Canis lupus familiaris: one gene and its partners. The protein of the gene in region 3 purifies or fractionates together with the protein of the main gene of each other region. This does not show direct contact. Links are inferred from orthologs where the notes say so. Each region holds a gene or a part of one and is shown on either strand. Other genes may lie near its edges.

Region 1 (4,308 bases), on a different chromosome or scaffold from region 3:
CCAACTCTGTCCACTTCATGTTAACACGATCAGAACCTTAGAACCCACAAGGGCCTGGGGGTGGGCTAGGGGGCTGCTCCAAGCATGGGCCATAGGAAGTCAGCATCAGCTGGGAATCTGTAAGACATGCAAATTCTTGGGCCCAACTCCAGCCCCACTGAATAGTAAGTCAGTCACTTCTGCAGGTGGGGCCTCAGAGCCTCAGATCTGTGCTTTAAGGGACGCGTGGGTGGCTCAGTGATTGAGTGTCTGACTTTGGCTCAGGTTGTGATCCTGGAGTCCCAGGATCGTGTCCCACATCAGGCTTCCTGCATGGAGCCTGCTTCTCCCTCTGCCTGTGTCTCTGCCTCTCTCCGTGTCTCTCATGAATAAATAAATAAAATCTTAAAAAAAAAAAAGATCTGTGCTTTAATAAGCCCTCCTGGTGATGATGGTGCACACGAAACAATCGAGCAGGAACACTTCCAAGGCTCGAGGAGCTCACGTTTATACACTGAGATTTCATTCTAGCAGTAAAAAAGATAAAAAAATCAAAAGTCTGCTACAATAGGGTGTTGGTGTCGGGTGTGGGGGGCAACGCACCTTGCTCTCCGCTTCTTCACCCGCCGCTCATGCTCTGCCTCTTCATAATACAACTCGTTGTGGCTTGAATCTCTGCGCCGAGCGGCTGCAGCGATCATGGCCCGGGACTGACCGGTGGCATTGTTACTGGGGCCTTTGGGGAAGGACAATGGAGGAAGAACAGTTTTAATGCCAAGAGGCTGCAAAACAGCAGGAAACTAGTACCATGGTCTGTTGAGACCATCCACCCACCTTCTGAGAGGCACATACACAAATGTCAAAAGAAACTTCCAAAAGGGTGGATGGTACTCCTGGCTCACATTCGGTATGCTCATGAGAAGGAAATCTCCCCGAAACCCAATTTGATCAGTAGGAATGGAAAAAGAACTCAGAAGGAGATGAAGAATGCCGGACAATGAAAATGTTGGCCAAAGATAACACACAAGAGAATGCTGTAGAGGTTACTCACCATCTGTTACATAAAGCTGCAGTTTGGCCATAAGGGTAGCTGGAACATCACATTTCAGCAACAAGACAATGAGAGAGAATGAGAGGGATGGGGAGAACAAGCACAGAGAGAAAGAAAGTCAGGGGACACAGAGACACTGATTACGCACAGGACAATAAGCCATGCTGGAATGTCACCGGAGTCACAATTTTAATAAAAAAACAAAATACTTGAGGACTTGCAATACGGCACGTCTGTGAACACAGACTCGCAACTCCCCACCCTGGTGCCCTGACCACAGATCACCTTAACTTTTCAGAAGGACAAAGCATATCACACGCTTTCTTCTGTATCAACTATTTGGTTAATGGTTTGGTTTCACCAGTGGGAATTTTCAGTAAGTTTTCAGATCACAGGTGACGTTTACCAACCCTCTGGGAATTCCAACTGAACACACATCTTATAAAGGCCCCCCTCCCGGTCACCCCCACCCTCGCCAAAATGGGGAGGGTATCCTCAGTAAAAATTGACAACCGTCCATTGATCACGTGACTTGCTAACACTATGGTCCTCTTCTAGGCTCTACAGAGCTCTTGCTCTGACCCAAGACACCCAGCAAGAAATGACACTGTGTCCTGTTTCTTGCACTGAACCATCTGATAGCCTGAGATGCAGCTCTCATGTCCTCGGCTTGGCCTCTGGCCTCCTGCCACCCACTCAGCCCCAGCTCCCAGCCAGGATTGAGAAATCCCTGGAAGTATCTCACCAGATGCCTGAGCTACTGAGAGTTACTGACTTCATGGAGCCTTTAAGTAACTGATCCAAAATTTGAAAAGCAGCTTTCCATAGATGTTCCCACCAGGAGGCAGGAAACACACATCACTATTGTTTTCAATCAGAAAACCCCAAAATGAATGAACCTCCCACATGTATAGACTGTAAATCAACATTCCTTTGAAAGTATATTTGCCTGCAGAAAGAAAGAAGGAAAGCAAGCAAGCAAGCAAGCAAGAAAGAAAACAAAAAGGAAAGGAAAGAGAAAAGACAAAAATTGTTCTGAATTGAGAGTGTACCAGAAAGACAGACACTGAGGGGAGGGAAAACAAAACGGACCATAAAATTTAAGTTAAAGAGTCGTCCAACCTGTGCCCCCTACACCCACCAACCACAGACGCCATTTCAAGGCACGTACCATCTACATTGTAGACTTTCAGCCCGGCCATGTGCTTGGCTGCTCGGAATTTGGAGGCTGTTAGGAGATTGGGGTTATAGATGGTGAAATCTTTATAGTAATTTTCCAGAACCACCAATGCTGCTCGCTGGATACTGAGAAAAGAGAGCAAAATTAATGCAATGCTTTTTCATCGAAGAAGCAGGTCCCAAATGACAACAAAAATAAATCCTCTTTTGGAGGGAGGGAGGGCGGAACACTACTGGTAACCTCCTGTAGTGGCAGGCTCCTGGCTCTGACCATGCCATTTGTCTCCAGGATGAGACTTGAAAGGTGAAACTGAGTTCGGTCATCAAGTGGCTTCTTGGCCTCCTCCCAGGCTATATCCACCTCATCTAGCCAAGAGTTGAGAAAGGAATCAGTTGTAACTTAGGTTTGTTGAGGCCGCACAGAACTTTCCCATTTCTCCCAGTTTACAGAGGAAGAGACGGAGGCTCCCGGAACAGTCAAGAGACCTAAAGATGGTGGCAGGACGAATGGGTGAAAGAACAAAGTGTAGACTCAGGTTTCTCAGGTCCCAGTACAGGGTCTCCTCTAAGCTCCACCCCCGCCCCCCTTTCCCTGTCTCTTGCTGTAAGGAAGGCTGGGTTTTGGGTTCCACAGAGATCAAACTACAACTGTACAGGACACAGGGCAGGGGGCACACGAAAGCAGCTGGCTGTAGACGTTAATGAATCCCGAGGTTCCATCCTCTGGGCTGCCCTGGGCCAGCTGGAGCTCCCTCTTTCAGAGAAAGCAAGACCCCCTTCCGAGCCCTCTGCTGAGATTCTGATCCTTCTTGGTCTGTGAGGCCTTCTGCCTCTAGGACTGTTGTCTCTGGCCCTCAGCTGGGATGAGGGGACACAGGGGACTCTCCTTGCCTTAATGTCCTTGACCTCTGCTGTCACCTGTTTGGCTCCTCAGACAGCAGCAGAGGAACAGAGAATAGGAAACACCAACAGGTGGGAGGGCAGTGGAGGGGGAGCACCCATACTCCCTACTGGCAGCAAAAGAACTCACTCTTGGCCATAGATGTGGGCAACTCACCACTTCGATGAGAAACTTGTACTAATACAGCACGGATTTTCATGCACCATCTTGTCTGACTTCCACAATCATTCAAGGTAAGAAAACTGAGGTTCAGAAAAACCTCTGACCAGCACACAGCATGCATCTACCAAACAGGAGAGCTGCAAGTCCAATCTGGATTTACAAGCCCCCAACCTGCGCTCTTTCCCTGGGATGTGTGACCTCTGTGGGACAGTGTGCATACCGATGCCAACTCCACTCATTTATTTTTATTTATGTATTTATTTTTTAAGATTATTTATTTATTTATTCATGAGAGATACAGAGAGAGGCAGAGACACAGGCAGAGGGAGAAGCAGGCTCCATGCAGGAAGTCCAACGTGGGACCCGATCCTGGGATTCTGGGATCACACCCTGGGCCAAAGGCAGACACTCAACCCCGAGCCACCCAGGCATCCCTCCACTAATTTATTTTTACCTTGCCCTTTATATTTTCCTCCCTAGACCTGCTAAGCAGGTGTGGTTATAAGGATTACTCACAACAGCCTGGGAGCCAAGACGTAGCTGCCTTGGGTTCCTGGATGACCACCCTAACTCTGCATAGCTTGCGGATGTTCACTTTACACTGAGACAATGCAGCCTCTAACCTACTGGCTGGACACGCTGTCAACCCATTGCTCGACTCCTGTCGTTTAGCACGAGATCGAAAAACGATCTAGAAGTCAATCAGCTAACCTCCTCAAGAGCAGTCATGGCAAAGCTTTCTGAGTTACCTCCCACGGTGCCTCGATCCACAGTCTTGCTGCTTAGTACTGGCCTTGACCTGCACACTCATGGGGGGCTGGAAGAATCTGGTGAAAATACCCTGTATCATGGAAGTAGAAGAGCCCTACGAGCAAATCTACATTTTCAAAGCCCTGCTCATTCATTACCCAGTTGCTCATCATCCGTTTCACGCTGAGAGCCTCCATCCGCCCAGCCCTGGGCATGCAAAGACAGGACACCAGGAGCGGCTCCAAGGCCAGGCAGCTAACTGGAATATGCGTGGGTCGGGGGAATG
Region 2 (4,308 bases), on a different chromosome or scaffold from region 3:
AGGGAGGGGGAGAGGCACAGGCTTCCTGCATGATGTCACCAAGTGAGGGCTTGGGCGGGGGGGTGCTTCCCAGGCTCTGCTGGCGCAGTGGCCTGTTCAGGCTCACGCGGGGCAGTTACGAGGAGGGGAGCACATGGGTGGGGGAGTCAATTCAAGTAAAAGTAAACGGGGGCAGGAGGACAGAGGCGGCAGGAGGCGAGAGCCAAGCCCTCCCCCACCCGCAGGACCCCGCGTCCCCCGCCGCTGCTGCTCAGTCACACCGAGGTCTCAGACTGCAGCCTCATGACAAACTTGTGTGACTTGGGATCCACAAACTCCTCCGAGAGTTTGAAGAACGGGACCTTCTTGGTGCTCACCACCAGGCTGAAGTCCTGGCGTTTTAAGAGGAAGACGATGCCGTCCTTGAGCCCGTTGGTCACGGGCTCCTCGCTCACCAGTGTCCACTGCTTGGCCAGCCAGCGTTCCTTGTGGTACTGGATGGTGGGTCCGGCCGCCAGGTACCGCTCCAGGAAGGCCTGAGGACAGGTCAGGGACTGCGTGGGCATCTCTCCCGGCCACCCGCCACCCTCCGCCCCCCGGAGGCACAGCTTCCACACCATCTAGAACATCAGAGCAGGAAGGGGCTGAGCTCATCTGCTTCAGACCCTTGTTTTGAACGTGGGGAAACAGAGCCCATGGAGAATGGGGGTGCCACGGGGTCAGGACATGCGTGCCGGCACGTGCCCCGCACCAGGCCAGGACCCCAGGCCCCCCGATTCCATTCTGCTCTCATGGAGGCCGTCACCCTGCTCACCAAGCGGTTGGGGATGCAGTTCTGGGAGGCTGACAATCAAGAGCAGGTGAAGGGGCAGAGGGGGAATTTTGGGGGCGGCAACCGCAGACCCTTGCAGAGATGGGGACCACGTCTCAGCCATTCCCAGGAGAACCTGGAAGCTGCCCCTGCTCATCACCCAGGAACCTGACTCAGAGCAGAGATCAGGGGGGCAGGGATGAGGAAGAGACCACAGGGGGAAGGGAGAGAGAGGGGTGGGGGGGGGGAGAAGGCAGGGCTGCAGGGCGGGGGCAGTGAGACCACGGCGGACCGGGGGCGAGGCGGGATGCTGGCAGCACAGCAGGCCTACCTTGGGCGTCATGTCGTGAGTGATGCAGAACTCGAGATGCTGCAGGATGCTCTCCATGGTGTGGTAAGGCTGCTGCTTGGTGGTGCGAAGGTACTTCTGCATGGCGCGGGCCATGGAGGCAAAGATGGCCTGGGCTGCCTCCCGGGGATCCATCACCTCCCTGGGGTTCTTCTGCTCCTCTTCCTGCAGCCGCTTGATGTGAGTGAAGGCCTCCTCCACTGCCACCACAAGCCTGGGGGACAGGAGGGGCCTGGACCAGACGCCCACCCCCATCGTTCCCTCGGCTCCCACCCCCCAGCAGCCCCCCTACTCCCGAAATAACACAAACCCACCTGGAGCCAAGGGCTGGGCTATGGGGGCTGGTGCGGGGACGCAGGTGCATGTGCATGGGGGAGGGGCAGTAAACAGCTGTAGACTCGGGGAGCCCGGGTACAGGGGCCCAGCGTCACACCGAGGCGGCAGGGACCATGCTCTGCGACAGAGCAGCACAGCCTCACCTGCAGACCCCTTCCCACAGGAGACCCCAAACCGCGCACACCCCGGCAGCGGAGGCAACGTTAACATCCGGCGGGGGGAGGTGGTTATGCTACTAACTGACGACACACTGGGAAGCAGAAGGCGAGAACGCTGCAGCAGGCGGCCAGGCCGGGCCACCGGTCGTCGAGGCCTGGGAGGGACGCTGCGGCGCACGAGGCCGGCGCGGTGGCCGGTCAGCAGCCGGAGAAGACAAGTGTCCCGTGGCCACCGAGACACGAGGGCGGGGAGCGGCCCTGGAATCCAAGCCCCGCGGGGGGCGCCGAGTGGTCATCGGGAACACCAGGCGGCGACAAGACACCACCGGCCGCATCCCAGGCAACGGGGCAAGCTCACCAACGGCGTTCAGGGAGCAGGGAAAAGTAGCCAGTTCACGTAGAAAGTAGACGGGGACACGGCCGCGTCGGGAACCCCAGGAACCGGGGGACTTCGGGCAGCTGAGGGCAGGGTTCTGGGCGCAGGGCAAGGGGGCCGGGGTGCGGCCAGTGTCTCTGTTATTCTTGAGCTTCCCCTGAGCGTCTCAGTCAACGTCCTTTGGAAAAAACCCTTTCATCTCAGGTGACACACGGGACAAGCTCTCTCCGGGTTACAACCCGGGTAAGAGGGGAAGGAAGCAGACCCCAGAGAGCACTGGCAACGCAGGGGACCCAAAACCCCTGCCTGGGGTCAGGGTGAGGGGGGCGTGCGCGTCTCTGGGCTCCTTCCCACCAGGCCCCCTTCTGAGGCAACCGGAGGCAGAGAAGTGACAGCTCCTCACGGGGGGACAGGGACGGGATACCGTCCTCCCTTGCAGCCTGGAGGCGTGGGCAGAGGGGCAGCAGCGGCGACGGTCAAGGCCTGGGGCCCTCTCCTGCCGAGGCCCGTGGAAATCGCCACAGGCCACGAGGGACCGGGCAGCAGCATCACCAGGAGACTCTTCAGGCGACTGACGTGCGCAGGATAACGTGAACGGAAGCAACGTGACGGTGTTTAAGAGGCACCGGGACGGAGCGCCGCACCCTCATTTTCCACAGGCCGGGAGCAGCGTCCCGCGTGGGGTGGGGGGTCTGGCCGCAGCCCCTGTGCTGCAGGAGAGGCTCCTGCAGTTCACCGGCTCCCGGCGGCACCCAGAATTCTAGAACGTTCCCTTCATTCACCGCCAGCACATTCCCAGCGCCCGGCTACTCCGCTAACTCGGTACATTTTGCAGATACAACTCAAGCGCCCAACCAGCGGACTCGGACTTGTCGCCGGGGAGATGACCGTGGCCTGCGTGGCCTTCTCACAGGAGACCTTGAAACGCAGTTTTCTCCAGGTGTTACGAAGCCAGACAGCCCTGCTCTGGCTGGGAAAAGCGAACTGCCCATGGGGCCAGCGACCCGGAATGACAGCGCCAACGGCCGGGGAGCTTGGGAGGGCACCGGCTCCGAGAGTCGTCTGCATTTCGGCCTGCGACGCTGAGCGGAGGGCCCAGCTGAGCCGGGCCTGCCCCGTGGGACCTGAGCTGAAGAGCCTGCTGTGCAAGAGCGCCCAGCTCCTGGGACTTAGGGCGGCCACAGGACGCGGATGCACGCATCGCACCCCATCATGCTTGCTCACCTGCCCCCCGCAGTCACGGGGCCCCGCAGCAGTGCCCCCGCCCCCGCCCGGCCCAGGGACCCACCTGGCCCTCCGCTTGCGCACCCTCCGCTCGTGCTCGGCCTCCTCGTAGTAGTACTCGTTATGGCTGTTGTCCCGCCTCCGAGCCGCGGCCGCGATCACGGCCCGGGACTGGCCCGTGGAGTTGTTGGTGCTGTTCTCTGTGCGGGAGCAGGAGACACGGACAGGGTCACTGCACCGCAGGCTCACTTCCCATCCCGGGGAGTCCAGGGACAGCAAACTGACACACCCAGAGGACGCTGTGCCCGCCTCCTGCCATACGTCCCATTCCCAGCCCTCCTGGTCAGCACAGGCCCACAGGCCAGCAACAGGGAAGGCGAGAGGGCAGGAGGCCCTGGAGCTCAGAGAGCTGAGGGCTTAGGATGGGGGCTGGTGAGCGGACGCAGAGAAGCCAGATTGGGGGAGGGGGCAGGTGGCACAGCATCAAGGGACAGGGAGCAGAACCAGTAGCTGACCTCAGTCACCTGGAGTCAAGGGGAAGGACAGAACAAAAGGAGGGGGGGAAGGCCAGAGGAGGTGGAGAGAACAGGGAGCAGGGACAGAGCCCAGCTCACGGGGATGGACGGACAGCCGGAAGCCGGAGAGCCGGGCAGGGCAGGGGAGCCGGGCCGCTCACCCTCTCCGAGGGAATACACCTTGAAGCCAGACACTTTCTTGGCCAGTACGGACTTGGGCAGGTTGAGGAGGGCGGGGTTGTAGACAGGGAAGTCATGGTAATACTTCTCCAGGATCCACACGGCCACGCGCTGGATGCTGTGGGGGAGACGGCAGGGGGTGGGGGACAGACAAGGGGGGCCGGGGGAGGGAGACATCAGGACAGGTAGGCAGGGCAGGAAAGGACACGGGGACGGGGACAAGCCGCTCCCGAGACGCCTGGCTCAGGGCCCGAGGTCTACTCACCGGGCTCCCAAGCCTTCCCCAGGGCTGGGCCTGCTAGTCCTTCCCTGCCGTGCTGAAGCCCAGGGGAGAAAGGCCATTGGGCCTGGGTCCCCACAAAGGGTCGCCTCCTCCCCTG
Region 3 (4,926 bases):
TGCTTTCGGTCTCTGTGGATTTATCTATTTTGAATTTTTTAAAAAAGATTTTGTTTATTCATGAGAGACAGAGAGAGAGAGAGAGAGAGAGAGGCAGAGACACAGGCAGAGGGAGAAGCAGGCTCCATGCAGGGAGCCTGATGTGGGACTCGATCCTGGGACTCCAGGATCACAACCTGGGCCAAAGGCAAGCGCTAAACCACTGAGCCACCCAGGCTGCCCTATTTTGAATGTTTTACATAAATGGAATCATACAATGAGTGAACTTTGTGTCTAGCTTCTTCTAAGTAATGCAGAATTTTTGAGGCTCAGCTGTGGTGGTGGCAGTGTTAGAAATTCATGCCATTTTTTAAAACAAGATTTATTTACTCACAAAAGAGACAGAGAGAGAGAGGCAGAGACACAGGCAGAGGGAGAAGCAGGCTCTCTGCAGGAAGCCCGATGCAGGACTCGATCCCAGGACCCCGGGATCATGCCCTGAGCCAAAGGCAGATGCTCAACCACTGAGCCACCCAGGTGCCCTTGAAATCATTTCTTTTTAATGGCTGAATAGTATTCCATGGAATGAATATACCACATTTTGTTTCCCCATTCACCTATTGATGGTGGACATTTGGATTGCTTCCATCTTTGGCTATTGTAAATAGTGCAGCATATACATGTGTTTGTCTAAGTACCTGTTTTCAATTCTTTTGGGTATAGGCCTAAAAGTGGAATTGCTGGGTCACATGATAATTCGATATTTAATGTTTTGAGGAACTGCCAGACTGTCTTCCTCTCCTTTCTCTTGTGTTTCAATAGCACCATATATTCAGGTGAATTTCTGTCATAGTACAATTAGAAGATGCCTTTAATCATAACAGGCTAGGGATCCCTGGGTGGCACAGCGGTTTGGTGCCTGCCTTTGGCCCAGGGCGCGATCCTGGAGACCTGGGATCGAATCCCACATCGGGCTCCCGGTGCATGGAGCCTGCTTCTCCCTCTGCCTGTGTCTCTGCCTCTCTCTCTCTCTCTCTGTGACTATCATAAATAAATAAATTAAAAAAAATTAAAAAAAAATCATAACAGGCTATATACGTATCTGAGAGCAGGGATTGTGTCTTCTTCATCTGTGAATCTCAGGGGGGCCTAGGACTTCATGGAGAAGGTGCTCAGTAAAATGTTTGTGGGATCCCGGGGTGGCTCAGTGGTTTAGCGCCTGCCTTTGGGCCAGGGCTTGATCCTGGAGTCCCGGGATCGAGTCCTGCGTCGGGCTCCCTGCATGGAGCCTGCTTCTCCCTCTGCCTGTGTCTCTGCCCGCACAACCCCCCACCCCCGTGTCTCTCATGAATAAATAAATAAAATCTTAAATAAAATAAAATATTTGTGGAACTGGATTGACTCTAGGAGGACTAAATACAGTTTTATCCTTGAGGAAAATGTGGTGTATGCGGTAAAGCTTTGAATATGAGTAACGAGCTAAGTGGAGATGGAGAGTGGGTGAGGTGAAGAAGAGCCTGCCGACTCCTTTGGACAAGGGGAAGGGAACACCAGTGTAGTAGAACCAGTTAGAACCAGTCATCCATATGCCTGGCGTCTATTGCTGATTTGCCTTTAGCTAACTCATTATAATTCTCTGGCAAGTTAGAGTCCTTTCTCGGTCGAATGAAAAGGTTGCATATTTTAGTGATACTCAATTTTTTGGTTTCCTTTAAAGCAATGGGCACTGTTTTTCCTGTGAACTCAATGGGGTTGGGGTACCCCTTTGAGGAGACAGAGTTGAGAGGGAGGCCAGAATGCAGGGCACCCTCTATTCCTGCAGCCCCAAGGACCTTGGCAAGACCCCAAGATCCCAAGGTGCCAGCACATTCTGAGCTCCCCTCAGTAGCTGTGAGAGACCTCTGTTCCACAAAGATTAGGAAAGCATTTGTGCACCCGGTACATATTATTCTGTAAAAAAGTTTTCTCCCCCCCCCCCCCGCCCCCAAGCAATAAAGGGGAACTTAAGGATGGAGGCAGCAACGTGAGCAAAGAACAAAAGGTCTTTCTTTATGAAAAGTTCTAGTGAGTAGCGCGCTTGATTAAAAAGAGGGTATCCCACCTCCTTCTCACCTCCTCATCCTGAAAAAAGGAAGAAGCAGAGCTACTGGCGGTTGACTTCGTGACAGAGTTGTCACACAGTTTACATTCCTAACCGAACGGATTCCTGCACCATGAGAGCATTTCCTCTGAAAAATGTCCTGTTCTGAACCAAAGCCGAGCACGTCAAGGGCAGGCTTCGTCTTGTCCTAACCCTCCGAGTTTCCTTTTCTTTCTGTCTCTCTCGCTTTCCTGGGGGGAAAATATCTTAAAAGCAAGTGGGACATTTACACTGCACCCTCGCGTTGCCTTTTCTCTGCTTTTGAGTGAGCCCCTAAAGTCAGGGGTTAGCTGGGTCCCCCCCCCCCCCCCCCGCCCCCGACCGTTTCCTGCCACGCCTGTGGCGCTGGCAGGCCGCAACCTGTCCCCTGGGCAATGGTCACTGCTGACACTCGCCTTGCTTTGGCCTCGTCCGGTTCTTTATTGCTGTGAAGCTCATTTGCAGGCCACACTGCTGAAAAGACACCGCCTGAACTTCCACATCTCTTCTCCTCTTTCAGGTTGAGGCACAGAAGTTACTCAGGCACTGAGATCGAAGATGGTTTACACAGATGTCTGACTTAGCCCAGCACACACGAGGTTCTTAACGTTAACATTCCTACCGGCTGTCATGGAAACATGGTTTGAGCAGTGCGACCACAAACGTTATTCCCATTATTCCCATTCTAGCATTAACTCTTTCTTTCTTTCTTTCTTTCTTTCCTTCCTTCCTTCCTTCCTTCCTTCCTTCCTTCCTTCCTTCCTTCCTTCCTTCCTTCTTTCTTTCTTTCTTTCTTTCTTTCTTTCTTTCTTTCTTCTTTCTCCTTTTCTCTTGTGAGGCTTCCCTTGAAATCCTAGAACTTCTCTGGAAACAGACCTTCTAAACCATGACCCCCCTTTGGGTGGCAAAGCCCTATTATAAAAATAGAAAGGATATTCAGTTTTATTAGGCCTCTGGTTTTCCTTGCTTGACATTTGCTTCCATTCCAGAATGGGCGTGAATGCAAACACCGCAATATTTCCACCATTTCTTTAAATGCTTTGTTTCCAGGAAACTTACGGTTTTCCGGAGAAGGATGCCCGCAGGACGATAATCCCTCTTGCTCGACCATGGTGCCCCGGGACGAAGGGAGCGTGGAATGCCCTAACGCTGCGAGTGGCGCTTCGAGAATGACTTAGAAAGGCCGCAGTCTGTCTGGTAAACCCCAGAACCTGTCTCAGGACTCTTGCCTCGATCGGCTCCCAAAGCATAATGCAACGTGATTATTTTCCTCTGGGGAAACCTGTGAAACAGGTCTTTGAGCTCCATTTAATGTGTCAGAGTTTTAATTGATTCTTTACCTCGGCGATCCACCCCATAATAGCAGCGCTGAGCACAGGACGTGTTTTACGGGAATAGTCACCCAGAGCTTAATTTGTTGTTGCATAGCAGACGGACGATTTCACAATGAAAATAAATCTGTTTCGTGCCCCGAGAATTTCTTCCCGGTGAAGTATGCTCTGTGATGTGGAGAGTGCAGTCCTCGGAAGCCTCCCAGTAGCACTACTGTGGTCGCAGGGAAAACTTGGTCACTGCTCCCTGTGGGCTCTTAAGACCTTTTGGTGGAGGAGAGGGGTACCCCACAACTCTCATCCTTGAGCTCATTTACTCTTGCTTCTTGAATCCCAAGACCGAGGGGATCCACATGTCCTAATTGACAGTCCATGTACAGCAACTTCCTATACCTTATCTCCATCTGTTCTCCTGATAAGAGGAAGGCGGGGCAGATTTCATTATGCCCATTTTACAGATCAGAGAACCGAGTCCTAACGAACCTTGCGACCTGCTCAAGGAACAACAGATAAGCACTGAGCGAGGGCTAGAGAGCAGATACTCTTTTGAGTAATTACTATTTTTCCCTGGAGAACAGCCAGGCCTGCTCTACCAAGGAACTGGCTGCATGCAACACATTTTCCTTCCCCCAACACAATTGGTTCATTCATTCAATCAACAAACATTTGTAGGGAGTGTGACTCTGGGGACTTAGAATTCAGATCTGCCCACAAAGGTGGCTTTCTTCTTCTACAGCTTCAATTGCTTTCTCTCCCAGGCCCTAATTCCTTCTGGTAGTAGAAATTTGTCAATTCTAGGTTTTCTCAGCTGGCTCAGCACTTCCCCAACCCTCCCTTTTTTTCCATGGTTGTATATAAGTTCAAGCCACTGAAAGGAGTGTGTGTGTGTGTGTGTGTGTGTGTGTGTGCGTGTGTGTGTGAGAGAGAGAGAGAGAGAGATGGAGGATGTGTATGGCCTTCAGAGGTCAGAGGTCTTCCCATCCTGGCTGCTATTAAAATGTGTGGCCCGTCTGGTCTTCAGACATTTGGAAAATGCTGGCATTCATTTTTTTTTTTTTTTTGGCATTCATTGTTATGTGGTGTTTTTGTTTGTCGGTTTGTTTAAACGTGATCTTGAGGCATCTGTAGAACTGCTAGCTCTCTTTCTTTCCGCTAGCTTCTGTGTCTTCCTTGTAAGGGAGATGTTTGGTGGCTCTCCTGGGCCACGCAGAGGATCTGGGGAATGCCGGAGGGCTATCTCAGGCCCTCTTGGTCTAGCCTTGTCATATGTCATTTTTGTTCTAAAGTTGCTCCCTCCTATCCTGTGCATGGAGGTGGGCAGAGGAGACTGTTTCCCCATCTCTCCTCAGGTGTCACCTGGTGTGAGGCACAGGTCCCTTCTCCTCCAGGATGTACCAAACCAACCTGGGCTGTACCTGATATCTCTAAGCACAAGCATGCCCCTCACCCCCAGCCGTAGCCCAGGGGAAGGAGGGCAGTGCAATGTGGTGGCTGACA
Region 4 (4,802 bases), on a different chromosome or scaffold from region 3:
TAAGTAATGTCTGCACTGAAGCTGGGGCTCCAGCTCAGGACCACAAGATCAAGAGTCCTGGGCTCTTCCCACTGAGCCAGCCGGCGCCCCAAGGTAGGCATTGGGTCTTGATGGGGCTTAGCAAAAGCGACTCCCTGTTGGGCCTGTTACTTTTCAAGGCAGGTCAGTACTATGGATGAATGAGCTCTGGAACGTGGTGCACCGCCTCTGTTAGCTGACATCAGGTATTATAGTGCTGATTCTTTTTTTTTTTTTAAGATTTTTATGCATTTATTCATGAGACACAGAGAGAGAGAGGCAGAGGCACAGGCAGAGGGAGAAGCAGGCTCCCTGCAAGGAACCCCACGTGGGTCTCGATCCCGGGCCTCCAGGATCACGTCCTGAGCTGAAGGCAGGTGCTTAACCGCTGAGCCACCCACGTCCCTAAGGTTTTATTTTTGGGAAGGTTCAATTTTTAAGTAACCTCTATGCCTAAGGTGGGGCTTGACCCTGCCAACCCCGCAGATGGCGCCAGGCACCCCTCCTTGTGTGAGGATTTTTTAAATCGCGCTTCAGCAGCCTCCACGTTTTCAGGTTCCAATACATATACTACCGAAAGCAGACATTTATTTATATTATATATATATATATGTTTCAGGTGTGTGACCTACTTTGAACGCTTACTATATCCCAGAGACGCACTGCCCTGCACGGGCTACGGGGGGTTCCTCGCTTGCCCTCGGCTTCCTTCCCTTCCCTGCCTGGCAAAGCAAGGAACAAAACTGCTTGGGGGACCCGGGTTGAGGCTGAGGGAGTAACACGGTAGGGAATTCTCTCAGGTAAACGCTGTAAAAAAAAAAAAAAAAAAAAGTTACAAAACCCCCAGGTTGCATTGGCTTTGCCCGGCGGGGCTCTGGAGGCGGAGGCGGAGGCGGAGGCGGAGGCGGAGGCACCGAGCACCACCTCCCGGGCACCGCGCCGCCACGTCCCGAGCCACGTGGGGCCAGGAGGGCCGCTGGAGGAGGGCGGCGGGCAGGGGGTCGGGGGGCCGGGGGGCCGCGGGGCGGCGGGCAGGGGGCAGGGGGGCCGCAGCTCGTTCCCCACGTCCCCGCGCGCCGCGGCCGCGAAGCTCCTCCCCGCCCTTCCTGCCGCCGCCGCGGGCGAAGCGCTGAGCGCGGCGGTGTTTTGTCCCCAGCGGCGACCCCTCGTCCCGCGCAGGCTGCGGCTGCGGCGGCCGCCGTGGCGGTGGCCGTGGCGGTGGCGGTGGCGGCGGCGGCGGCTGCCGAGCGCTAGGACAGGCCCGCGCCGGCCCTGCGGCCTGGAGGCCGGGAGAGGCGGAGGCCGGGCCGCCCCCCGGCGCCGCGGGAGCGGAGGGGACCAGGCGGCCGCCCGGGAGCTCGGCCCCGCCGCCGCGAAGGTGGGGGAGGCCCCGCGCCCCTCCCGCCCTCCGGCCGCCGCCGCCGCCCCGCTGGCCCTGCCGCCCCCGCCCCCGCCGCCGCCGCCGCCCCCGCCGCCGCCTCGGGCTCCCGCCGCCGCCGCCGCCGCCGCCGCCGCCGCCGCCTCGGGCCCCACGGCCCCGGCCGGGGAGGGCGGGCGGCGTGCGCGGCCGGAGCCGCCGGAGATGGCGGGAGGGCACTGCGGCAGCTTCGCCGCGGCGGCGGCCGGCAGCGCCGAGATCGTGCAGCTGAACGTGGGGGGGACCAGGTGAGTCGGCGGGGAGGGCCGCGGGGCCGCTGCGGGGGGCGGGGACGGCTGTCGGGGGGACCCGGTGTCGGGGGGGAACCGGGTGTCGGGGGGGAATCGGGTGTCGTGGGGGTCCCGGTGTCGGGGGGGAACCGGTGTCGGGGGGACCGGGTGTCGGGGGGGAACCGGTGTCGGGGGGGAACCGGTGTCGGGGGGGAACCGGGTGTCGTGGGGGTCCCGGTGTCGGGGGGGAACCGGTGTCGGGGGGACCGGGTGTCGGGGGGGGACCCGATGTCGGGGGGGGAACCGGGTGTCGTGGGGGGAACCGGGTGTCGGGGGGGAACCGGTGTCGGGGGGACCGGGTGTCGGGGGGGACCCGATGTCGGGGGGGGAACCGGGTGTCGTGGGGGTCCTGGTGTCTGGGGGGAACCGGTATCGGGGGGGAACCGGTGTCGGGGGGAACCGGTGTCGGGGGGGACCGGGTGTCGGGGGGAACTGGGTGTCCGGGGGGAACGGGGACGAGCGTAGGTGGGAGGCGAGCGGGTGGGGCAGGCGGGGGCGCCGGGCGGAGCGGAGGTCGGTGCCCCGGGAGGGGAGGGGCGAGGGGGCGGGGGCGCCGGGGCCGCCCTCCTCGGACGCCAGCCCTGCCCCCCGCCGCCTCGTTCCAGGCGCTCAGGCTCGGGCACGGGAGCGAGCGTACTTGGGCGCGCTCTGCGGAAGCCCGGCCTTGTGGCTTGGCCCTTGCGCCGCAGCCTGCCGCCGCCTCGGTGCCCCCTGAGGCGGGAGCGCGGGGTCGGGTGCTCAGGGTCTGCGCGCGGGGCCTTGAAGCGCGGGTCGGGAGCTGCGGTTGCGGCGGTTGCGGGGGTTGGCCCTGCGCGGCCTGGCGCGCACGTGGCCCCCTCCCCTCCTCCTCCTCCTCCTCCTCTCCCGGCCTTCCGCTCCCTGCCTCTGCCTTTTATTGAGCTCGGGGGGCGGGGGGGGGGGGGGTCAGTTTTTGTGGATTCGCTATGGTTTATGACTCACCCTTCTCAGAAATGGGACTTTGCCAGCTCTGTTGGAAGGAAGGGGTTGGTGAGGCTCAAGCTTGGTAGGAGACGAACGACGAGGTCCTTCCAGAATATCCCTGGGTTTCGACACCCAAGACCTGACCAGTATTTTTTTAAACGCGGAACAGCAGCAGTGTGAGCCGGAGGCATAAGATGTGTCGGGTTTTAATCCTAAACATTCAGTCATTTTCTAAGTGTGCTAGAGAATGCAATGCAAGAAACAGTAATTCTTCATCCCTTCCTGTTCTTTCTTTTCCCGAGCACCGGGAAGCACAACTGCTTAGCAGTGTAAGATGGGACGTCATCGTGCTATCGAGATACCCATCTTCTGAAGGTCTATGGCTCCCGATGTAGGAAATGGACTTTTCCCCCCTAAAATCACATGACATTTTTGCAGGTTTGGTAATTTCTGGATGCAAAGAATGGAATAACCCACAAGAGCTGGCGTTCAGTGTTTGTTAATGCTGAGGAGCAGCACTATAGCCCCTTAAAATCCCTGCACACAGCCCTAATTTCTGTAGATTGCTGCAATCTTTTCAGGTATTCTAAAGGACATACACCATTATGATAAAAATTAAATGTATTATTATTTACTGTATATTGAGAGTGGGTGGTTTAATAATGAGTGAATTCCTGTTAATGACTGTAGAATTCAGTTTATACTTTTAAATCCTAAAAGGCAGCCATCTTGGAGCTGGAACATTTTATTTTCTTTTACTGTGTATGGAACTTGATGGTAACAGGTTCTAAGTTTCCTAAGTGATGATATTAGCAAAGAATACAAAATAAGGTGAACGTATTATTAGATTGAACAATTTAGAAGACATGAATGTTGTTAGATAGGAATGAGAAATAAAACCACAGACTTTAAATTTGCTAGGATAACATAGTTTATAAAAAAAAGTAATGACATGGCCTTTACAAAAAATAGAACGTAGGACTCCCTGTATGCTGAGGATATTTTCTTGAGTTACTTTGAATCATATACTCTTGGAGTGTTTTAGAGCTGGAAGGGATCCAGAAGTCATCTCTGTGTTGTGCAAAACATATTAACACAGTCACTTAAACCATTGTAAAGAAAAAAAAAGATCCTGATTTCATTGTCATTAAAGTTGAGCAATTGCCGCTGGGAGAACCACCTGTGGCATAGAATGGACGCAGGCTCTGGGGTGATAGAGTAAAACTCAGGAGAGTATATTGTGAGCAGAGAAGCATATGCTACAGGGTAAGGTCTTTCCCCTCACCCACTCCAAGAGAGGAAGGATATGAAATTGGAAATACTCGAATTATAAAAATGAGCAATTTTTTTTTATGATTTATTTAATGCTTTGTGAGTGATTCAGGAAGCGGAGGAGATGAGATTGCATTTAGGATTGACATTGTTTACAAAAAAAAAACACTAAAGAAGTGAAAGAAACCTAATATGACTCTATTTGTGATTAATTCTGTTATGAATGAGTATGATTTGAAGCCTCACGAGAAAGGTTTGGGACCAGCTAGTGGGGGACTTAGAGACAAAGGACTTTGGAATCATGCAGATATGTGGGTACCAGTTCCCAGGCTTAAACTCTAACTAGCTCAGCATCCTAGGACAAGTTATTTTTTAGTGCTTAGTTTTCATAAGATCTAAATGACAATAATAACACCAACCTTATAGGATTGATAAAGGAATTTGAAGTAATGAGAAATGCAAGGGTTGATGGCATGGTAACATTGCAGAATAAATAATTTTAATTAGATTGCTTCCAAGTTAGAGGCAAATGGCAAGAGTCTAAATGTGGATATGCTAATGTTTTTAGTGACATTTTTGCTGAGAACAGATTGGACATCGCCCTTTACTTGGCCCACTGTGGGTATGTGATAAAAAACATTAGAAGAGGCTTTCATATATGTTGCAGAAAATTATGCTTATCATATGTGATTTTAAACATCATTTTTATAAAGTCATACTTGGAACTTAGTTTTGAAGATCTGTGAGTTTTTTTTTGTTTTTGTTTTTCCCCATTTGCCGCCTTCTTGTTTGAATAAAGAAAAAATTGGTGTGGGTGAAGATCTAGTGGCTCTGCCCAGAGATTTCAGATTACTAAACCTACC
Region 5 (4,858 bases), on a different chromosome or scaffold from region 3:
GCCAGTCGCTCAATGGGCCAGTCCAGGCGGGGGCTTGAAAACACCAGCTGCCAGCCAGAGGCTTCCTTTAACCTGGGGGTTGGGGCAATATCATCAACCCTCAGTGTGAGCCCTTCCCATTAACAGGGCTCCAGCCTCCAGCCACCACCCTCCCTGAGCACCTATAGCAGACAAGAAACTGGGTATAGGCCACAGCGATCCAGTTGTGGTGTCCGCACACCAGGCGTACCATCCCTGGCTCCTCCGGTAGCCCTGGGGTGGTGGGGGGAAGAAGAGCGATCAGGGCAGGGTCACAGCACCCCCTCCCCCAGGCTGGCTGCCCCAGCTTCCCAGGGGACCGAAGCCTACCGGAGGGAGAGGGAGGGGCTCTTTCATCCAGCATTCGGCCCAGCAGCCCTGCATTGCCCAGGTTGGGGGGCATTGTGTTGCTGCGTCGAACGGGGGCTGGGCGTCCCCCTAACTGCTGGGGCCCCACCAGGCTGTGCCGGTTCCGCCGCTTTGCTGGAAACACTATGGCAGGGAGAAGGAGCAGAGTGACAATGATTGTAATAACTGTAGCAATTGCCACGTCACAAGCACCTAAAATATGCCAGATACTGACTTGCCCACATGTGGGGCACAGTCTCCTGCCAAAAAGATTTTAGGTGGTGTGGGGACACGGCGGGCAACGAACGACACTGAATCACACAGCAAGCTACTCCCTTTTCTATTCCTCTGAGCTGCACACAAAGGACAAATCAGCTTGGTGCTGCCAAAACAGTGCTCCCTTTTCAGTATTTGCTTTAAGAAATGGAAGCCTACCTCGTTGGCAGGCAGCAGCATCCCAACACTGGTATTTGGAGATTTTCTTTTCTTTTTTTGAAAGATTTATTTATTTGAGAGGCAGAGAGAGCGTGCACAAGTACAGAAGAGAGGAAGAAGCAGACTTCCTGCTGAGCAAGGAGCCTGACGCAAGCTGAAGGCAGATGCTCAACCAACTGGGCCACCCAGGAGCCCTGGGGATTTTATATTCACGTTTACTTATTCAAGGTATAAAGGTAGTGATAAAAAGCTTCTATTTAAAATGACTTTTGTACAGGGCACCTGGCTGGCTCAGTTGGAAGAACCTGAAACTCCTGACCTTGAGGTTGTGAATTTTGAGCCCCACATGGATTATAAAGATTACTTACAAAAGTAAACTTTAAAAAATGACTTTTTAGGGGCACCTGGGTTTTTTCAGTGTTTGAATGCCTGCCTTTGGCTTGGGTCATAGTCCTGGGGTCCTGGGATGAGTCCTGCATCAGGCTTCCCGCAGGGAGTCTGCTTCTCCCTCTGCCTCTGTGTGTGTCATGCTCCCCCAAAGCCCCACGAGCTCATGAATCGATAAATAAAATCTTTATTTAAAAATTTACTTTTATTAAAAAAAAAAAGACTTAAAAAAAACCCAACACAGTAAAACTAAGAAAACAAAAGCACAGATCTCCGTATTTGACAAACATCATGAAGGTATTGAGCAAGGTTAGGGAAGTAGTTGTAAGTCGAATTTCCCCATTTTATTCCTTTTTCTCATCAGCAAAGCCTCATAGACTACAGTTCCCAATAACCACTGGGGTATATTGTCCATGGCCAGCTGGGGTTGCGGGGGTTGCTGATCTAACGTCCCATGAAGATTCTAGTCAATAACCCCCCCTTTATATTTCTCCCCTCCCTGCAAAGGACCCCATTTCTTCCTAAGCTTCCCCACAAGGAAATCAAACCTGGACTGAGACCCCCTTCAGGCTCTAGGGCACACTTCTGAGCCTCAGGGCAGGTAGCTGGCCCACTGACTGCCTCATTGGAAATGCAGTCTCCTACTTCCTTTCCCTCAATCCAGCCTCTGATATAGAACTACAACTCCCATAGTGTCTCAGGGCTCACAGCACAGGCGACCAAGGGCCTCGACCTTATGGGAAATGTAGTCTTCCATCAGCCCTCCCTCCCCTCCATCCCTTAGTTGTGCCCACCTGGTGGAGGCAGGTAACCATTGAAGAGAACGTTTCCACAAGAAGATCGGTCCAACTCCTCCCGCAGCTGCAGGCGGCGAACTGAGGCGGAATAACTCGAAGGCTGGGACTTGGGGAGTACTGAGGCACATCCTATCCCCCTCCCCAGCTCATTCTACACCCATCCCCCTTGAGACCCAGGACCAAATCCAGTGCTCTCAGCGCTACCCCTAACTTCTTTCAGGAGAGAAGCATCAGGAGAGCAGGAGTTCGTTTTCTATGCAATGAGGAAGCTAATGGGGCCCCCCACTTACCCAGAGGAGTGAGCCCATAGAACTGGGCTTCGTGGAGGAGGCTGGAACCATGAACACCCCTGAGTAGCAGAATTCACCAGGGGTTAGAGTTTGGGGAGTGGGAGTTGGTCGAGAATTCTGAGGAGGAAGCTTTCAAAACTGCACAGAGAATTGCAAGAGGTAGCAAATTTTGACTGGATCAAGATTCTAAGGAGCGATGAAATAGATGGGCAATGAAAATGTGTGTGTGTGTTTGGGTTAAACTCTAAGGACACAATTCAAATCGGATTGAGGGGCTTAAGGGAACATTCTGAGGGTAAGAAGATGAAGACGGTGGGGTCCCTCTATCCCCATGCAGACCTGGGATCCAACTCTTTGGTGCGCAGGAAGTTGAGGATGGGGGCGAAGACGGTGGGGTCCCTGTCGATGAAGATCTGCGGGGAGGGAGGCAGAGGATGGATGGGGCAGAGCGGGGCTGAGTGAGGCTCCAGTCCCTCCTCCTACCCACTGCCCTATTTAAGCTCTATGCCCTACTCACGGCTCCAGTCTCATCTTTCAGTGTTGAGATGCGTCCGCTCAGAAGACTGTAGGGAGGGGACACAGAGCAGGTGTCACGGGCCAGGGTGTGTGTGGGCGCACGGGGGGTCGGGGGGAGGGTGAGTGGGGGGATTAAGTCTCCCCATACCGTCTCTTCCCGCCACCCACAGCCCGCCCCAAATTCGCTCTCCCGGTCACCTGGAGAAGAAGGAGTCTGGGATCCAGGTGAGAGTCTGGCGAGAGGTACTGAATCTACGGGGGGAAAGTGAGCGGACGCGAAGGGTTGGAGGAAGAGTAAGGAACGCGGCCCCCTACCCTCCCCGACTCCCCCCCAACCCGGCCCTCCTCGGGCGTCAGTCCGGGCACTCGCGCCTTCAGCAGGAGGCGGAGCAATCCTTGATGGACAAGGATTCCCCGCGGGAGAGGCGGGTACTCCCACTCCGCTCCCCGCCCCCGAGGTGGGGGCCTCAGGAATCTCCTACACTCACCTCTTGCCTCCCACGTTCAGATGAATCACCTCCCCGGGAGGCCCCCGACCTGGGACTCCGTCGGCTGCAGGCGCCGCGGCTGCCATGGCCCCGGGGCGAGCCGGCCGGCCAGCACCCGCTTCCGGGTCTGTACTTGGGCCCCGCCCCCACTGCCTGCTCATTGGCCTGGAGCCTCCCGGAGCCGCCGGCGATTGGACAAAGCGCCCACTCGTAGCAGTTAATTCTCCGCCTCCTTAAAGGGCCCCGCCTTTCCTGTGCTGGACGGGGCGTACCGCAAGGCCCCTTTGGGGAAGTTTAGATAGAAGGGCCAGCAAAACATTCCTCTAGCCTTCTGGTTCCCAATTTTAGAATCTAGGTGTTTCGTGAGGGACGTGTGTTTAAATCCCGAAATTAGTACACATCAAGAGAACATCTAAAAGTTCTCTGCTGCCATTAGTCTTTCCCTGCGCCGCCCCCCTCTCCCCCGCCCCATACATCCTCGCAGGCGCGGCCCATTAAACGCGAACAAACCGGCATAGACCGTCAAAGCCAAAGGATTTATTATAGGTACATACAGTGTGCGCCTGCCACACCGCCCCACACCCCCAGGCCCCAGCGGCTCCTCCAGGCGACCATGGGGGCTGCCACAACCCTGTTCCCCCACTCCCTAGGGAGGTGCTCCGGCCAGAAGCATGCAGGGGGGAGGGCTTCCTCTCGCCCCTCCCCTCACCAAGTGGCATTTACAGCTGGAGGGGGGAGGAGAGAGGAAGACAGTTTTGAGCTTTGACGCCCCTCCCATTAAAAAGCCTTCGCGGATGCGGGGCGGGGGGGGGGGGGGGAGGAGGTCGACGTTTTGCAAAAATAAACTAAGTCAGGAATTAACCGCATGGCTCTGAGACGGCGGAGTGCAGGGGCCAAAGCCCCTTCACTCCCCCTTCCCAGACAGAGATCAAGGCAGCATTGGAAGTGAGGTAAAGGCGGGGAGGAGGCGTCCCCTCCCCACCCCCTAGCACCCTGGATGGTCCAGGGGACCTCACCAGCGGCCCCATGCCCATCCCTAGGGCGGAGAGGGGGGCAGGAATTATCGCCCCCTACCACCCCAGCTTCTTGGGGCAGGATCTGGAGATCCGGGCAGGGGGCTTGGCTCAACTGGCCCCTTTACCCGCCCCCTCCAACTCAGTTATTGCATAAAAATAATGGAGCCCCAGCACCTGGGGTGGGGTGGCGAGCAGGAAGGGGCCGAGATATGGCTATAGGGGCAGCAATCCCCCCACCACTTCCTGGAGTGCAGGAGAAGTCCCCTCCTTTCCAGTGCCCATCTTGGCGCGTCCGCAGTGTTGGTGGAACTAGAGGCGCCCGCCCCTGCGGAAGAGAAAGTGTCTTTTTGCCCACAGTGCGGCGAGAGGGGCGGGGATGTGTGTCAGGCCCAGAAGGTGGGAAGTCACTTCCTGCGCCCGCTGGCCCTCCGCTCCCCCGCCTCTCGCTTGGGGTTGCCTTCGTCCGTGGAGGACGTGGTGGGTAGTGTCTGTCCCCAGCGGGCGATCTCAGCGTGCTCGCCCACGGAAGCGGCCACGGCCTCCAGCCAGCCGTTCATCTCCTC

Evidence for each region.
Region 1: the proteins of PTPN3 (region 3) and VANGL1 purify together in Homo sapiens (affinity purification with mass spectrometry; 4 studies listed by BioGRID and IntAct, with this or other methods). This does not show direct contact. The link is inferred for Canis lupus familiaris from reciprocal best matches to the Homo sapiens genes PTPN3 and VANGL1.
Region 2: the proteins of PTPN3 (region 3) and VANGL2 purify together in Homo sapiens (affinity purification with mass spectrometry; 3 studies listed by BioGRID and IntAct, with this or other methods). This does not show direct contact. The link is inferred for Canis lupus familiaris from reciprocal best matches to the Homo sapiens genes PTPN3 and VANGL2.
Region 4: the proteins of PTPN3 (region 3) and KCTD3 purify together in Homo sapiens (affinity purification with mass spectrometry; 4 studies listed by BioGRID and IntAct, with this or other methods). This does not show direct contact. The link is inferred for Canis lupus familiaris from reciprocal best matches to the Homo sapiens genes PTPN3 and KCTD3.
Region 5: the proteins of PTPN3 (region 3) and SHKBP1 purify together in Homo sapiens (affinity purification with mass spectrometry; 4 studies listed by BioGRID and IntAct, with this or other methods). This does not show direct contact. The link is inferred for Canis lupus familiaris from reciprocal best matches to the Homo sapiens genes PTPN3 and SHKBP1.

The regions. Positions count from the first base shown.
Region 1 is NC_049238.1:53,739,571-53,743,878, reverse strand, and holds part of VANGL1 (vang-like protein 1), read right to left. Parts: intron 2,336-4,308; coding exon 2,202-2,335; intron 716-2,201; coding exon 583-715; intron 1-582.
Region 2 is NC_049259.1:22,648,638-22,652,945, forward strand, and holds part of VANGL2 (vang-like protein 2), read right to left. Parts: intron 4,047-4,308; coding exon 3,910-4,046; intron 3,434-3,909; coding exon 3,298-3,433; intron 1,354-3,297; coding exon 1,122-1,353; intron 516-1,121; coding exon 255-515; 3' UTR 1-254. UniProt on the Homo sapiens protein: Involved in the control of early morphogenesis and patterning of both axial midline structures and the development of neural plate. Plays a role in the regulation of planar cell polarity, particularly in the orientation of stereociliary bundles in the cochlea.
Region 3 is NC_049232.1:64,991,894-64,996,819, forward strand, and holds the start of PTPN3 (tyrosine-protein phosphatase non-receptor type 3), read right to left. Parts: upstream 3,276-4,926; 5' UTR 3,210-3,275; coding exon 3,158-3,209; intron 1-3,157.
Region 4 is NC_049259.1:11,679,058-11,683,859, forward strand, and holds the start of KCTD3 (BTB/POZ domain-containing protein KCTD3), read left to right. Parts: upstream 1-1,585; 5' UTR 1,586-1,600; coding exon 1,601-1,683; intron 1,684-2,657; exon of another isoform or gene 2,658-3,248; intron 3,249-4,802. UniProt on the Homo sapiens protein: Accessory subunit of potassium/sodium hyperpolarization-activated cyclic nucleotide-gated channel 3 (HCN3) up-regulating its cell-surface expression and current density without affecting its voltage dependence and kinetics.
Region 5 is NC_049222.1:113,946,949-113,951,806, forward strand, and holds the start of SHKBP1 (SH3KBP1-binding protein 1), read right to left. Parts: upstream 3,419-4,858; 5' UTR 3,366-3,418; coding exon 3,280-3,365; intron 3,044-3,279; coding exon 2,990-3,043; intron 2,839-2,989; coding exon 2,793-2,838; intron 2,689-2,792; coding exon 2,615-2,688; intron 2,335-2,614; coding exon 2,276-2,334; intron 2,064-2,275; coding exon 1,983-2,063; intron 511-1,982; coding exon 349-510; intron 253-348; coding exon 162-252; intron 73-161; coding exon 1-72. Other genes in the region: SPTBN4 (spectrin beta chain, non-erythrocytic 4), read right to left, coding at 4,700-4,858.